Linked DNA regions of Arabidopsis thaliana. The protein of the gene in region 1 interacts with the protein of each later gene in a pairwise test. Each region holds a gene or a part of one and is shown in the gene's direction. Other genes may lie near its edges.

Region 1 (4,035 bases):
GAAAGAGTTTAATGTTTTATATTGGGGGTTTTTTCCCTCTTGTTTTACATTGGTTTGAATGAGACAAATGTCTACAGCTGTGCTTGGACGCAAGCTGATCAAGCACATAGTTGTGGCCCTCGATCAAATATCTATTTGAACGGCCAATTTTATTGGAAATCTCAAGTTACAGTTTCCCCATTTATTTATTTTCTCCCTAAAGTTAAGCTATTAGTCGGGCCAAAAAAAGAAATTCAGCGTGTGGCCTGTTAATATTCGGAGCTGTAGTTCAATATATAAAAAAGAAGTTCGAGCGACCTATTGCATCTTTAATTTGTAGGAAACAAAAACAACACTAAATTCAGATGATTTTGAAATTAAAAGAGCGACCGATTTTTTTTTATTTTTTTTTTGATGAATTTGGATATATTTGTCGGAAAAATGGTTGAGGTGTAAATATATAATTATGATGAATATGTTCAAATTCATCGAAAATTCGTCACAAATCTTTAAATCTATACTAAAAATTCACCGCATAAAACTAAATGTATATTAACACTGAGTGTCTTTGCGATTTCCGACTAATTTCTGAAGGATTTAGAACCATATTTAAATTGGGTCCAAAATATGAAGATAGATAAAATTGTGGTTTTTGATGAATTTCTGACGACTTTTGAAAACACATCTAAAATGAGATTTAAAGTATCTATTTTGAAAGAAAACATCAAATTACAACATAATTACCAAGAATTTCAAATAAAGAAATTGTGATATACAGTTTACAACATGTTTCCAACAAATTTTCGAAAAACAATTAATAACAAATTTCTAACAAAAGTACTTTCTTCTGAAATTGTTAGACTGATTCATCAAATATAAATTCTAATCGATTAATTGTCTAACCGATTATAAGAAGAAATAAAAGAATATCTCGAAAGTCTAATAACGAAACAAGTTTGAGAGACTATTTTTTTTTTCTTTTTTTGAGAGACCAAGTCTTCATTATGGAACATGGATAATTATTGAAATCCAGCTTGCTTTCTTATTTGTTGGGAAGACATCTTATTCTTAGTTGTCTGAATCATATCCATGTATTGTATAAGCGTGTTCGACGTTGTTTTCCCCGAATATAAAAATGCGAAGTTCGCAAGACTTGACCGTTGAGTTGACTGTCTCCATTACAACTTGTTCCTCTAAAGTAGGAACGAGACGTATAGGTAACTTTCTTTGAAAGTCTTTGTTGTTGTCCGAAAATTTGTTAGCAGTCAACTTACATCCAACTTTTTTGTTTGTTTATTTGGTTTTCGAAATTAACTTTCTAGTTAAAATCAGATTTTTTCACTGATCAGGTGTGATCAGTCTCATCCGTGTAAGATTTGTAATTTTTTTTGCTACATCATTAAAATCGACAAATCGATACACAATTCTTTACTATGATATTTATTACAAATCAACACAAAAAATAAATAAACAAACCGAATATTGCGTTTAAATTAACTTTAGTGTATATAATAGCTTTCCGGAAATAGCGTGGTTGAAAGTAGAAACTGTGTTTTATGTCCAAAACTGAATATGAGTCATTTTCAAAGTACCAAATCTTATCTGTCAAAGGATCACATGATTACGTATAAGTTTTAGTGATCTTTTTTAATTATCTAAAAGAAGTATATCGCCGCCAAGGTGGAACAAGTCATTGTTTGTTTAACGCGCACTTCTCCTCCTCAACCATTTATCAAAACTAGAAACCACTATATAAAAAAATCCACAGAGAATGAAATTTACATATTTTCAAATCTTTAAAAGTTGAGACCAGAAGAAGAAGAAAAAAAATCATGGAGATGACCGAAGCTTCCAAACAGACAACAGCAGAAGGATCAGCAAATCCAGAACCAGACCAAATCTTGAGTCCGAGAAGATCGTTGGAGCTAAAACAAAAGAAATGGTGGATCTCTGTTTCTTTATGTATTTTCTTAGTCTTGCTCGGAGATTCTCTAGTCATGCTTCTCTTGAACTTCTTCTATGTTCAAGACAATCGAGAAGATAGTGACCAAGATCTACAATACCGAGGAACATGGTTGCAAGCTCTGGTCCAAAACGCTGCGTTTCCACTACTCATTCCTCTGTTTTTCATTTTCCCTTCACCAAAACAAAACCAAGAAACCACCAATACTCGTTTCCTCTCTTTTCGTCTCATCTTACTTTACATCTCTCTTGGTGTTCTTGTTGCTGCTCACAGCAAATTGTTTGCACTTGGGAAATTATACGCAAACTTTGGCGTCTTCACGCTGATTTCCGCGACTCAGTTGATATTTACCGCTATTTTCGCAGCCATTATTAACCGTTTTAAGTTCACCAGATGGATTATCTTATCGATAATCGGCAGCATTTTGATTTATGTTTTCGGTAGTCCTGAATTTGGAGGAGAGCCTGATGAAAACGAAGAATTCTACAGCATCCAAGCTTGGTTAACTTTCGCTGCTTCAGTTGCTTTCGCATTATCTCTCTGTTTATTCCAACTTTGTTTCGAGAAAGTGTTGGTAAAGACAAAGAGATATGGTAACAAGAAAGTGTTTAGAATGGTCATAGAGATGCAAATTTGTGTCTCTTTTGTCGCAACGGTTGTTTGTCTCGTGGGTTTGTTTGCGAGTGGCGAGAATAAGGAACTGCAAGGCGATAGCCACAGGTTTAAGAAAGGAGAAACGTATTACGTTTTGAGTTTGATCGGGTTGGCATTGTCGTGGCAGGTTTGGGCGGTCGGGCTGATGGGTTTGGTGCTTTATGTTTCGGGTGTGTTTGGCGATGTTGTTCATATGTGTACTTCACCACTTGTGGCTTTGTTTGTTGTGTTGGCATTTGATTTCATGGATGATGAGTTTAGTTGGCCTAGAATTGGTACTTTGATAGCAACAGTTGTGGCTTTAGGATCTTACTTCTACACTCTGCATAAGAGAAACAAGAAGAAGATGGTGGAGCTTTACCAAACAGAGAACAATATTGACGTTTAGTCTCTCATGTCAAATGTTTGTTTCTGTTTCAAAATATGTTGTTGTTCTTCTGAATGTTGTAAGTCAATGTCTAAAACATGTTGTATAGATCTGAAAACTATGGAACATATTTGTTAATTATTTTGATTTGATTTTTTTTTTGTATTTATCTCTTACAATATTTTGTTAATGAGGATTTGTCACTACAATTTATCTCTTACTTTCATCAACAAAGTATTGTAATAACTAATAAATAGATACAAAAAAATCTTTCTCACAGCTGGTTAACCTGGGTTCACAAGTCTTTTCCTATATATAGGCTATAATTTTTACGTTGTAAGAACAAAAACCCTTAGTTTCCTTCCTTTCCTCTAGAGATTTATTTATAACTCTCCTTGGATCTTCAACATGTCATGCCACATTGCCACTCAAGAGAGATATTTTTCACCCTTTTATCTTTTAGCTCTTATGTGTACTTGTTCTTGATTTGGTTCTAAGAGAAACTTTTGTGGTTCTTGAAGGAACCTGTTAGAGATGTAAACTATTTTATGAGATGATCTTATGTTTATGGAGATATATATAAGAGCTTTAAATGATCTTTATGTACTTTTGCTTATTTGATTAATGTTTTTCAATATGTGTTTTAGCATGACCATAAGTGAGTAGTCTAGTCTCTATCATGATTGACAGTTTATTAGGTTAACTTATGTTTAATACATGATTGTTAGGAATAAAATTATAGCCTAGTGATGTCCTCAAGGACCACAACTGATGAGTCGTTTTCAAAGTATACCAAATCTGATCTGTCTAAAGGATCGCATGGTTTTGTATAAGTTTTAGTAATATTTCTAATTATTATAAAGAATTTAATCACCACTAGCTAGTCATTGTTTAATGTGCCTCTCCTCAATCATTCTCAATAATTGGAAAATCTACAGGGAATGAAATTTACATATCTAAATCTTTAGAGATCCACCAGAGAAAACTCATGGAGATGACCGAAGCTTCCAAACATACAACAACACATGGTAACTTCACTGTCTTAACTTCTGTAAAAATTGTTTCTATTCTT
Region 2 (3,832 bases), on another chromosome or scaffold:
ACTTTACTTCTAATATAGTTTTAAAATGTGTCTAACACTAAAACAATACAATATATGTATAGAAAATGGTAAAATAATGACGAGTATCGAGTCAAACGAGTCGAGTATTAGTTTTTTTTCATTACTTGTTACTTGATTTGTACTTGCAAGTATCTAAATTATACTACTTGTTACTTGCCTTGTTAAAAACGAGCATTTGTTTTTTCAAGGCGAATACGAATCAAGTAGCGAATATAAGACGAGTAACGAGTACTTATGTCTAGCCCTAATAAATATATATGTGTTTTTTCAATAACTATAACAAAAATAATCGATTAACTCTTTTGTGCTCAAGTTACTATGTAAAAATTGGTATGAACAACATTAGATACGCATCATGATAATGTTTGTTTAGTGGATAAAAAATCGATTAACAATAAAAAAAAATAGAGAGAGGCATGAAAACGAAAATAAGGAAAAGAAAAAGACTATTCGTTTGGTGTGGTCGACCTGTCCCACACCGAGGAAATCACACTTTTATGACAAGACCTACTTGTCCGTACTATATAACATTATCGAATGATTCCGATTTTCTCTTTCCTTTTTTTTTTCTTTAATACGGAAATTACTAATTAAAAATTAAAAAGCGACCAGACGACAATTCAAGAAGCAAACAAAATTGGTGGTACCGAAACAATAAATCTTTTTTATTTATTTCTAAACAATTATTAATTTATTGAAAATTTCACGAAGAAATGAAACAGAAAGTTTTTCTTGGTCCCACTTAGACGTGGCCTCAATCTTCACATCATGGCCCCACACGCTTCTCACGTGCAACTTAACCAGTTACGACAAAACAAAATTAAGAAACATATTAACTTTAGAAATGTATTTACAATGGTTAAATTATTGTTTTGTGCCATTTCGTTTAATACAATGCACCGCTACATGATCTTAAGATAGCTCACGGAAAATTTAGAAAAGTAAATCACAAGTCCCAAATATGCCACGGTGGAAGATGACATGGCAGATATAAAGCGGAGCTTTGCCACATTGAATAAAATTACGAGAGTAACTTTATAGTTTGTAAAATTAAAATCATGGGAATGGTTTAAATTTTAAATAAAATAAAACTGAAGAAATGAAGAGTATGCATATTTAATACTATCTTTTGATATGAAATTTAATTACAGTAATCACAAAATAAGGAAAAGTTAATAAGAAAAATATGGGTTGACTAAAGAGAGGTTAATTTGGAATCTTTTTACAGAAGAGAATACAGTGAACTAACATAAAAATTTTATTAGGAAAGACAGCTTTACACATTTTTAAAAATGCATTTAAGGAAAAAACAGCTTTGCACCTTTTTTTATAGGATTTGCATCTTTAAATTTTAGAAATAATACAAAAAAGGATGGACAAGAACATAAAATCTAATAGTTTTTTCAACAAAAGAAAAAATCGAATAGTTTATGCTAATATCATTAACATATTAGCAAAAAAAAATTTATTGATTTTATAATGGCTCTTTGACTAGTCAAGCTTGCATATGTTTATGTGGATGTTGCTAAGGAAACATGCATGAGTGCATCAATAAATAAGAAAGAAATATTACAAAAAAAAAACTTTTTACACGTCCCAATATTTGCAAACTTCAAGAAAGATAGTATATATTGTTGAATAAAAACTTAGTATATTTTATATTTCTCTAGATTATATTCCTTTTAAGTTCATAAAATTGGTTGTTTCTTTTTCTTTTTCCTTTTACAAAAATCAACTGTATTTTACTAACATTTAATTTACAAAAACTTTAATTACTAAACACAATTGGTAATATACCATGAAAGTCAATATCTAATTTGAATTCATAATTATTCTAAATATCTAAAATATTTAAATAGTAAAAGTAATAAATATGTATTTATAGAAAATTAAAAAAATATTGACTTTTTTCTCTCCCTTAAATAAAAGCCAATCCCATAGATTTCTTCACCAGTCGCCACAACTCCTCCCTCTTCTCTCTCTCTTTGTTTCAGAATCTCTAGGAGCTTTTTTCAACAACAATGGCTGTTCAAGCTCATCACATGAACATTTTCTCTCAGTTTATATCACCAAACAGGTAAAAATCTCATTTTTATATTCTTCTCACAAACAAACTTCCTCTGTTTTTATTTTCCTCTAATCTTTTTTATTTTTGTTATTTGCAGAGATTGTGTTAAATTTCAAGAAAACATGAACCACGGCGAGTTTGAGTTTACCGGCGGTGAAGTTCCGTTAATAACCGGAGAATCTTTCGCCGTTGAGCCTTTAGCTGCGAAAGCCAACTTCAACAAAGCAGAAAGTGGTCTCAGTTACAATTTCACTGTTCCTCCTCTGTCTACAAAACGCCAGCGAGATTTTCAATTCTCAGACTCAAACGCTCCGGTTAAACGGAGGTCCGTAGCGTTTGACTCATCATCACCGTCGTTGATAAACGTTGAACTCGTATCTCAGATTCAAAACCAACAACAGTCAGAGATCGATAGGTTCGTAGCTCAGCAAACGGAGAAGCTAAGAATAGAGATTGAAGCAAGGCAACAAACGCAAACGCGGATGTTAGCGTCTGCGGTTCAAAACGTTATAGCCAAGAAACTAAAAGAGAAAGACGATGAAATCGTACGGATTCGAAACCTAAACTGGGTTTTACAAGAGAGGGTGAAGAGTCTTTACGTCGAAAATCAGATTTGGCGTGATATCGCTCAAACCAACGAAGCAAACGCTAATACTCTTCGAACAAACCTAGACCAAGTTCTTGCTCAACTCGAAACGTTTCCAACCGCTTCAGCCGTTGTAGAAGACGATGCGGAATCGAGTTGTGGAAGTTGTTGCGGTGATGGTGGTGGTGAAGCGGTAACGGCGGTTGGTGGTGGTTGTAAACGGTGCGGTGAGAGAGAAGCGAGTGTGTTGGTGTTACCATGTCGTCATTTGTGTTTGTGTACGGTTTGTGGTGGTTCGGCTTTGTTACGGACTTGTCCGGTTTGCGATATGGTCATGAACGCTAGTGTGCATGTTAACATGTCTTCTTGACCATCTTTTTTTTTTGTTCGTTACAATTTAATTTATATTTTTTTTGTTTCCTTAGGATTATATTCGCAAAAGAAATAGCAAATTGATTCTTTTCTTTTTGTAAGTACATATAAATTAGTTTTTGGTTAACTCTTGATTTTCTTACGACTTAAATGGAATCCAAGACTGAAAATTGCAAAAAAGAAAGACGAAATAATTTGTCGAAGAGAATTTAAAGGCTCCTCCTCTCATTATGTGTGGGAAAAAAAGAAAGAATAAATCATATAAATGAATTTAAAGTGATTCGAAAATGTTTTGAAAAGTAAATATTCCAGAGTTCTTTTTAAGTTGCACCGTTGTTTGGTTGCTTATTCTCAAAGTCGATCACATGAGTTTGAATTATCTACCACCTTTTAAAGATTATCATAGCGTCGATATAAATTGAAAAAGGTATAAAAATGGTCTATGGATATATACTATTGCAATTTGGAAGTATCCTTTATCTTTCCAACCCCGCAACTATATTCAACCAGAAGAATCATACTTCGCTATCGAAACTAAAATAAATTATGATAAAAGAAAAAGAAATAGTCTGAATTCGATTGTCTCAACGACATTTTCAGTTCATAGTCATTATAGTTGTCGTGTAATAAATATTTCATATTCGGATCATGTCATGTGCAGTGCATGTCTAGACAAAATAAAATACCCCCACTAAAATGGATTTTTAAAATTATATCCTATATTAATTCTATAAACGACGAAATTAGAACGATGAATACGATGTGTGAATTCACGAGTTACGATG
Region 3 (3,890 bases), about 15 Mb from region 1:
ATCCCAAAGTTTGACTATCAGAAACCTGCCTAAACAACTGCTGCCCAGGTGAACCTCGAGCACGTCTAGACGGAGTTGATCTGGGAGGAAGTGAATGTGTGTGAGCTGAAGGAAGATCAGAGACCGAGGTGGAACTTGACGGATTTGGTAAAACTGATGAAACAATATCTGATGAGTCAACTATATTCTTCACCTGAAGAATTAAAAGACGAGAGGGTTAAGAGACTCTGAAGGGACGAAAAGAGACTCTGATTGGAGTAAGTAATGATCTCACCTCAACACGAACAGGACTTGCCAAGGATACATCTGCCCAGAGAAAATAGATGCATGAGAGACAGGAAAAAAATCCTTCATTACAGTAAGAAAATAAAGCTGAAATGATCTCTACCAAAAAATGAAATGTCTCTCGATCTAATCCTACCAAATAAATGTTGTTACCCCTTTGACTGGATTGAGTAGACTGGAAAAGAACATCCACGAAGGAACTAAAATCGACTCAACAGTATATTCCCAAACAATGAAACTGAAAGTTCTACACTTTCCCCACAAAAAAAGTGTTTGAACGAACATACCTGAAGGAGATCGAATCGCCAAACTTGTACCCGCTAAAGGAGCTGTAACCATCGAAGCTGTGCCCATCTCTGAGTCTGCGGATTTCTGAGAGCCAAGAGTAGCTAAACCCCCAGTTTCAGATGACGGAGGTCCTCTCTCTAAGCCTAACGACAACTTATCGATGTCAATACCTCTACTCCCAACATTATGATTAGATGAATCTTTAATCTCATCAGCTACACGCCTCCTGTTGTCCCGTCGAAAACTCCACGATGGTGAACACACTGAATTATCAATAGCTCCACTGGGAACATTTCTGTCCTTTGCAGCCACACAGCAAACAGACCCCATAATCCTTAAAAGAGAGCTGTAATGAATATGTCTTACACAATCTCCATTGGTGGTGCTTCCTAATCTACCACTGAAGAACTTATCACAGTAGCAAACCACAATTCTGCATATAAACAAACAGAATGTGAACTTCGAATCAGAGCCATTATAATACATAGAGGTGAAGGCAGAGACCTCAAAATCTAACGCAGAAATCATCAATGGAACGGAATTAAAGTAAATACAATAGATGATTCTAAAATCCGGGGGTTCACCAGGGACTCACCAGAGCAACTAGGGTTCCGCAGGATTGAAACGAGGTATATGAAGATGCGGCGGAATTCGAATCCAACGGCTGAGAGAGATTTCAATTACTCGACGGAGATGGCCGCCGATCTGAGAGAGAGAGAGACGGAGGTTGGGTGCGTCGCAGGGAAATTGTGCCACGTCACCCTTCCTCTCTTCTTTTTCTGTTCTCTGTTTTTCTTGTGCTACTATTTGTTTTTGGTCAAATTTTACTTTTTTGGTCAATTTGTTTCTTTTTTTTTTACATAACAATTTTTTTTTTTTTTTTACTGAACAAACATAACAAAATGTTTTTTTTAACAAACATAACAATATGTTTCCTAATGCAATTTGATTATATTTTTTAGTAGTACTTAGTAAGTCTTGGTATGTGTTTATGGACACATCGTTTTCGGGAAACGAATTAAATTGTACTCCGAAAATGATAAATGCATGGAGTAATTGTATACCAACTAACTTGTAATAATTTGAATCAACACATGCTCTTTTGTTTACGCAGCCCATGCATTTATCGTTTTCGAAAGTATTTAATTCATTTTGTTATAACTACGATGAGAAGCCGAGAGAACCACAGAATTATAATGAATCGGATAAGAAAAATCAACATTCTCCCCCTATAAATACAAAACAACTAGCTAAAGTTCGAAGGATTCATACATAAATCTTCAACACAACTCTTTAATTATCTAGTTTAATACAAATGGCGGCGATAGAGGACAGTCCAACGTTTTCCTCTGTGGTAACTCCGGCGGCTTTTGAGATAGGCAGCCTCCCGACAACCGAGATACCGGTGGATCCGGTGGAAAATGATTCAACAGCACCGCCAAAACCGGTGAGAATCACCTGTCCAACAGTCGCCGGAACTTATCCCGTCGTTTTATTCTTCCATGGCTTTTATCTTCGCAACTACTTCTACTCTGACGTTCTTAACCACATCGCTTCGCATGGTTACATTCTTGTAGCCCCACAGGTACATAATTTAACTATACAAAAAATAATTATGAATCATTTAAAAGGATAACTTACGGTATGTAACATGTAACATGTAAAACAAAATGTACATTAATTGAGATTGATTGTTACGTGAAAAGATATAAGTTAATTTTATATTCTTGAATGACAGTTGTGCAAATTATTGCCGCCGGGAGGGCAAGTGGAAGTGGACGATGCTGGAAGTGTGATAAACTGGGCATCGGAAAACCTCAAAGCTCACCTACCAACTTCGGTAAATGCTAATGGAAAATACACCTCACTCGTGGGCCACAGCCGCGGTGGGAAAACGGCGTTTGCGGTTGCGCTAGGCCATGCCGCAACATTAGACCCATCCATCACGTTTTCAGCTCTAATAGGAATTGATCCAGTCGCAGGAACTAACAAATACATTAGAACCGATCCGCATATCTTAACGTATAAACCGGAATCTTTCGAGCTGGACATACCGGTTGCAGTGGTGGGAACCGGACTCGGACCGAAGTGGAACAACGTGATGCCACCATGCGCACCAACGGACTTAAACCATGAGGAGTTTTACAAAGAGTGTAAGGCGACGAAAGCCCATTTCGTGGCTGCGGATTACGGACATATGGATATGTTGGACGATGATTTGCCCGGTTTTGTTGGGTTTATGGCCGGTTGTATGTGTAAGAATGGGCAAAGAAAAAAGTCTGAGATGAGGAGCTTTGTAGGTGGAATTGTGGTTGCGTTTCTCAAGTATAGTTTGTGGGGTGAAAAAGCGGAGATTCGATTGATTGTGAAGGATCCTTCCGTTTCTCCGGCCAAGCTTGATCCTTCACCTGAGTTGGAAGAAGCTTCTGGTATCTTCGTCTAGATTTGTGTTATGTACTATTATCAGAGGGGTCTTGAATATTTGAAAAACCTATCAATGTTTTCTAGCTCCAAGCTAGCTATTGTTCATGTCCTAAGTTGCATGTGTATTTTTATTAAACTCGATCAAAACATTTGTTATAGTTTTACCCCAAAACTTTACAGCTTCTTCTTATACTAAAACCTAAACACATTTAAATAGCTATATAATTCTCTATATAATTCTTATATAATGAAATGTGACCAAGCTTTTCAACTTCGTTGCAATGATTCATGTAATTTGGTTTAACTCCGTCACAAACTCTATATCTTTGTAACATACCCTTATTCAAACTTTCTTGTTGTATTCTAAAGTTAATGGTATTTGTAACATATCGCAATTTCGATCTTATTTTCGTAAGGAGAAAGGAAAAATTTGCTCCTGCACTACAACATTTAATGAGAGCTCCAAACTCTACAAACAAGTCAACAATGACAAATTAATTTGGGCCTGCACTACGACAACGATACAGCAAAATGGAGACAAAACCACATTTAAGGTTTTATTGTAGGCAAATGGTCCTAAGATTGTCTGTATACGAAAGGTGCGTCGTGAGTCTCGTGACTCTTGTGTATGTGGTGGTTATTTTACTCTCGAGTTCCACGTGTGTTTGTTATAATTGTTAGTATATACGAAAGATTGTTAGTTATAACCACCAGCTGACCTGCTGAAGAAAGGAATTGAGATGAGCCGAAAAGGATCGAGTCATAAAGCTTGGACCGGTAGATATTTAAATGGGCCTAGGCCCATATTGGTCATTTACTTTCAAAGTAGATAAAACAGTTTCCCACACATCCCACTAAAGTCACATCCAAACATTACAAAAAGAAAAAAAGAA

The links. The genes of interacting proteins can lie anywhere in the genome.
Region 2: the proteins of PUP18 (region 1) and RING interact in a protein complementation assay, tested with the Arabidopsis thaliana proteins (one large-scale study listed by BioGRID).
Region 3: the proteins of PUP18 (region 1) and CLH1 interact in a protein complementation assay, tested with the Arabidopsis thaliana proteins (one large-scale study listed by BioGRID).

What each region holds. Positions count from the first base shown.
Region 1 is NC_003070.9:21,440,649-21,444,683, reverse strand, and holds PUP18 (purine permease 18), read left to right. Parts: upstream 1-1,647; 5' UTR 1,648-1,811; coding exon 1,812-2,984; 3' UTR 2,985-3,505; downstream 3,506-4,035. Other genes in the region: AT1G57980 (Nucleotide-sugar transporter family protein), read left to right, coding at 3,952-3,991.
Region 2 is NC_003075.7:10,712,846-10,716,677, reverse strand, and holds RING (SBP (S-ribonuclease binding protein) family protein), read left to right. Parts: upstream 1-1,932; 5' UTR 1,933-2,042; coding exon 2,043-2,098; intron 2,099-2,186; coding exon 2,187-3,045; 3' UTR 3,046-3,268; downstream 3,269-3,832.
Region 3 is NC_003070.9:6,802,922-6,806,811, reverse strand, and holds CLH1 (chlorophyllase 1), read left to right. Parts: upstream 1-1,719; 5' UTR 1,720-1,888; coding exon 1,889-2,158; intron 2,159-2,311; coding exon 2,312-3,016; 3' UTR 3,017-3,326; downstream 3,327-3,890. Other genes in the region: AT1G19680 (RING/U-box superfamily protein), read right to left, coding at 1-193, 275-306, 573-903. UniProt on the Arabidopsis thaliana protein: Catalyzes the hydrolysis of ester bond in chlorophyll to yield chlorophyllide and phytol. Shows a preferential activity toward chlorophyll a. Does not seem to be required for chlorophyll degradation during senescence.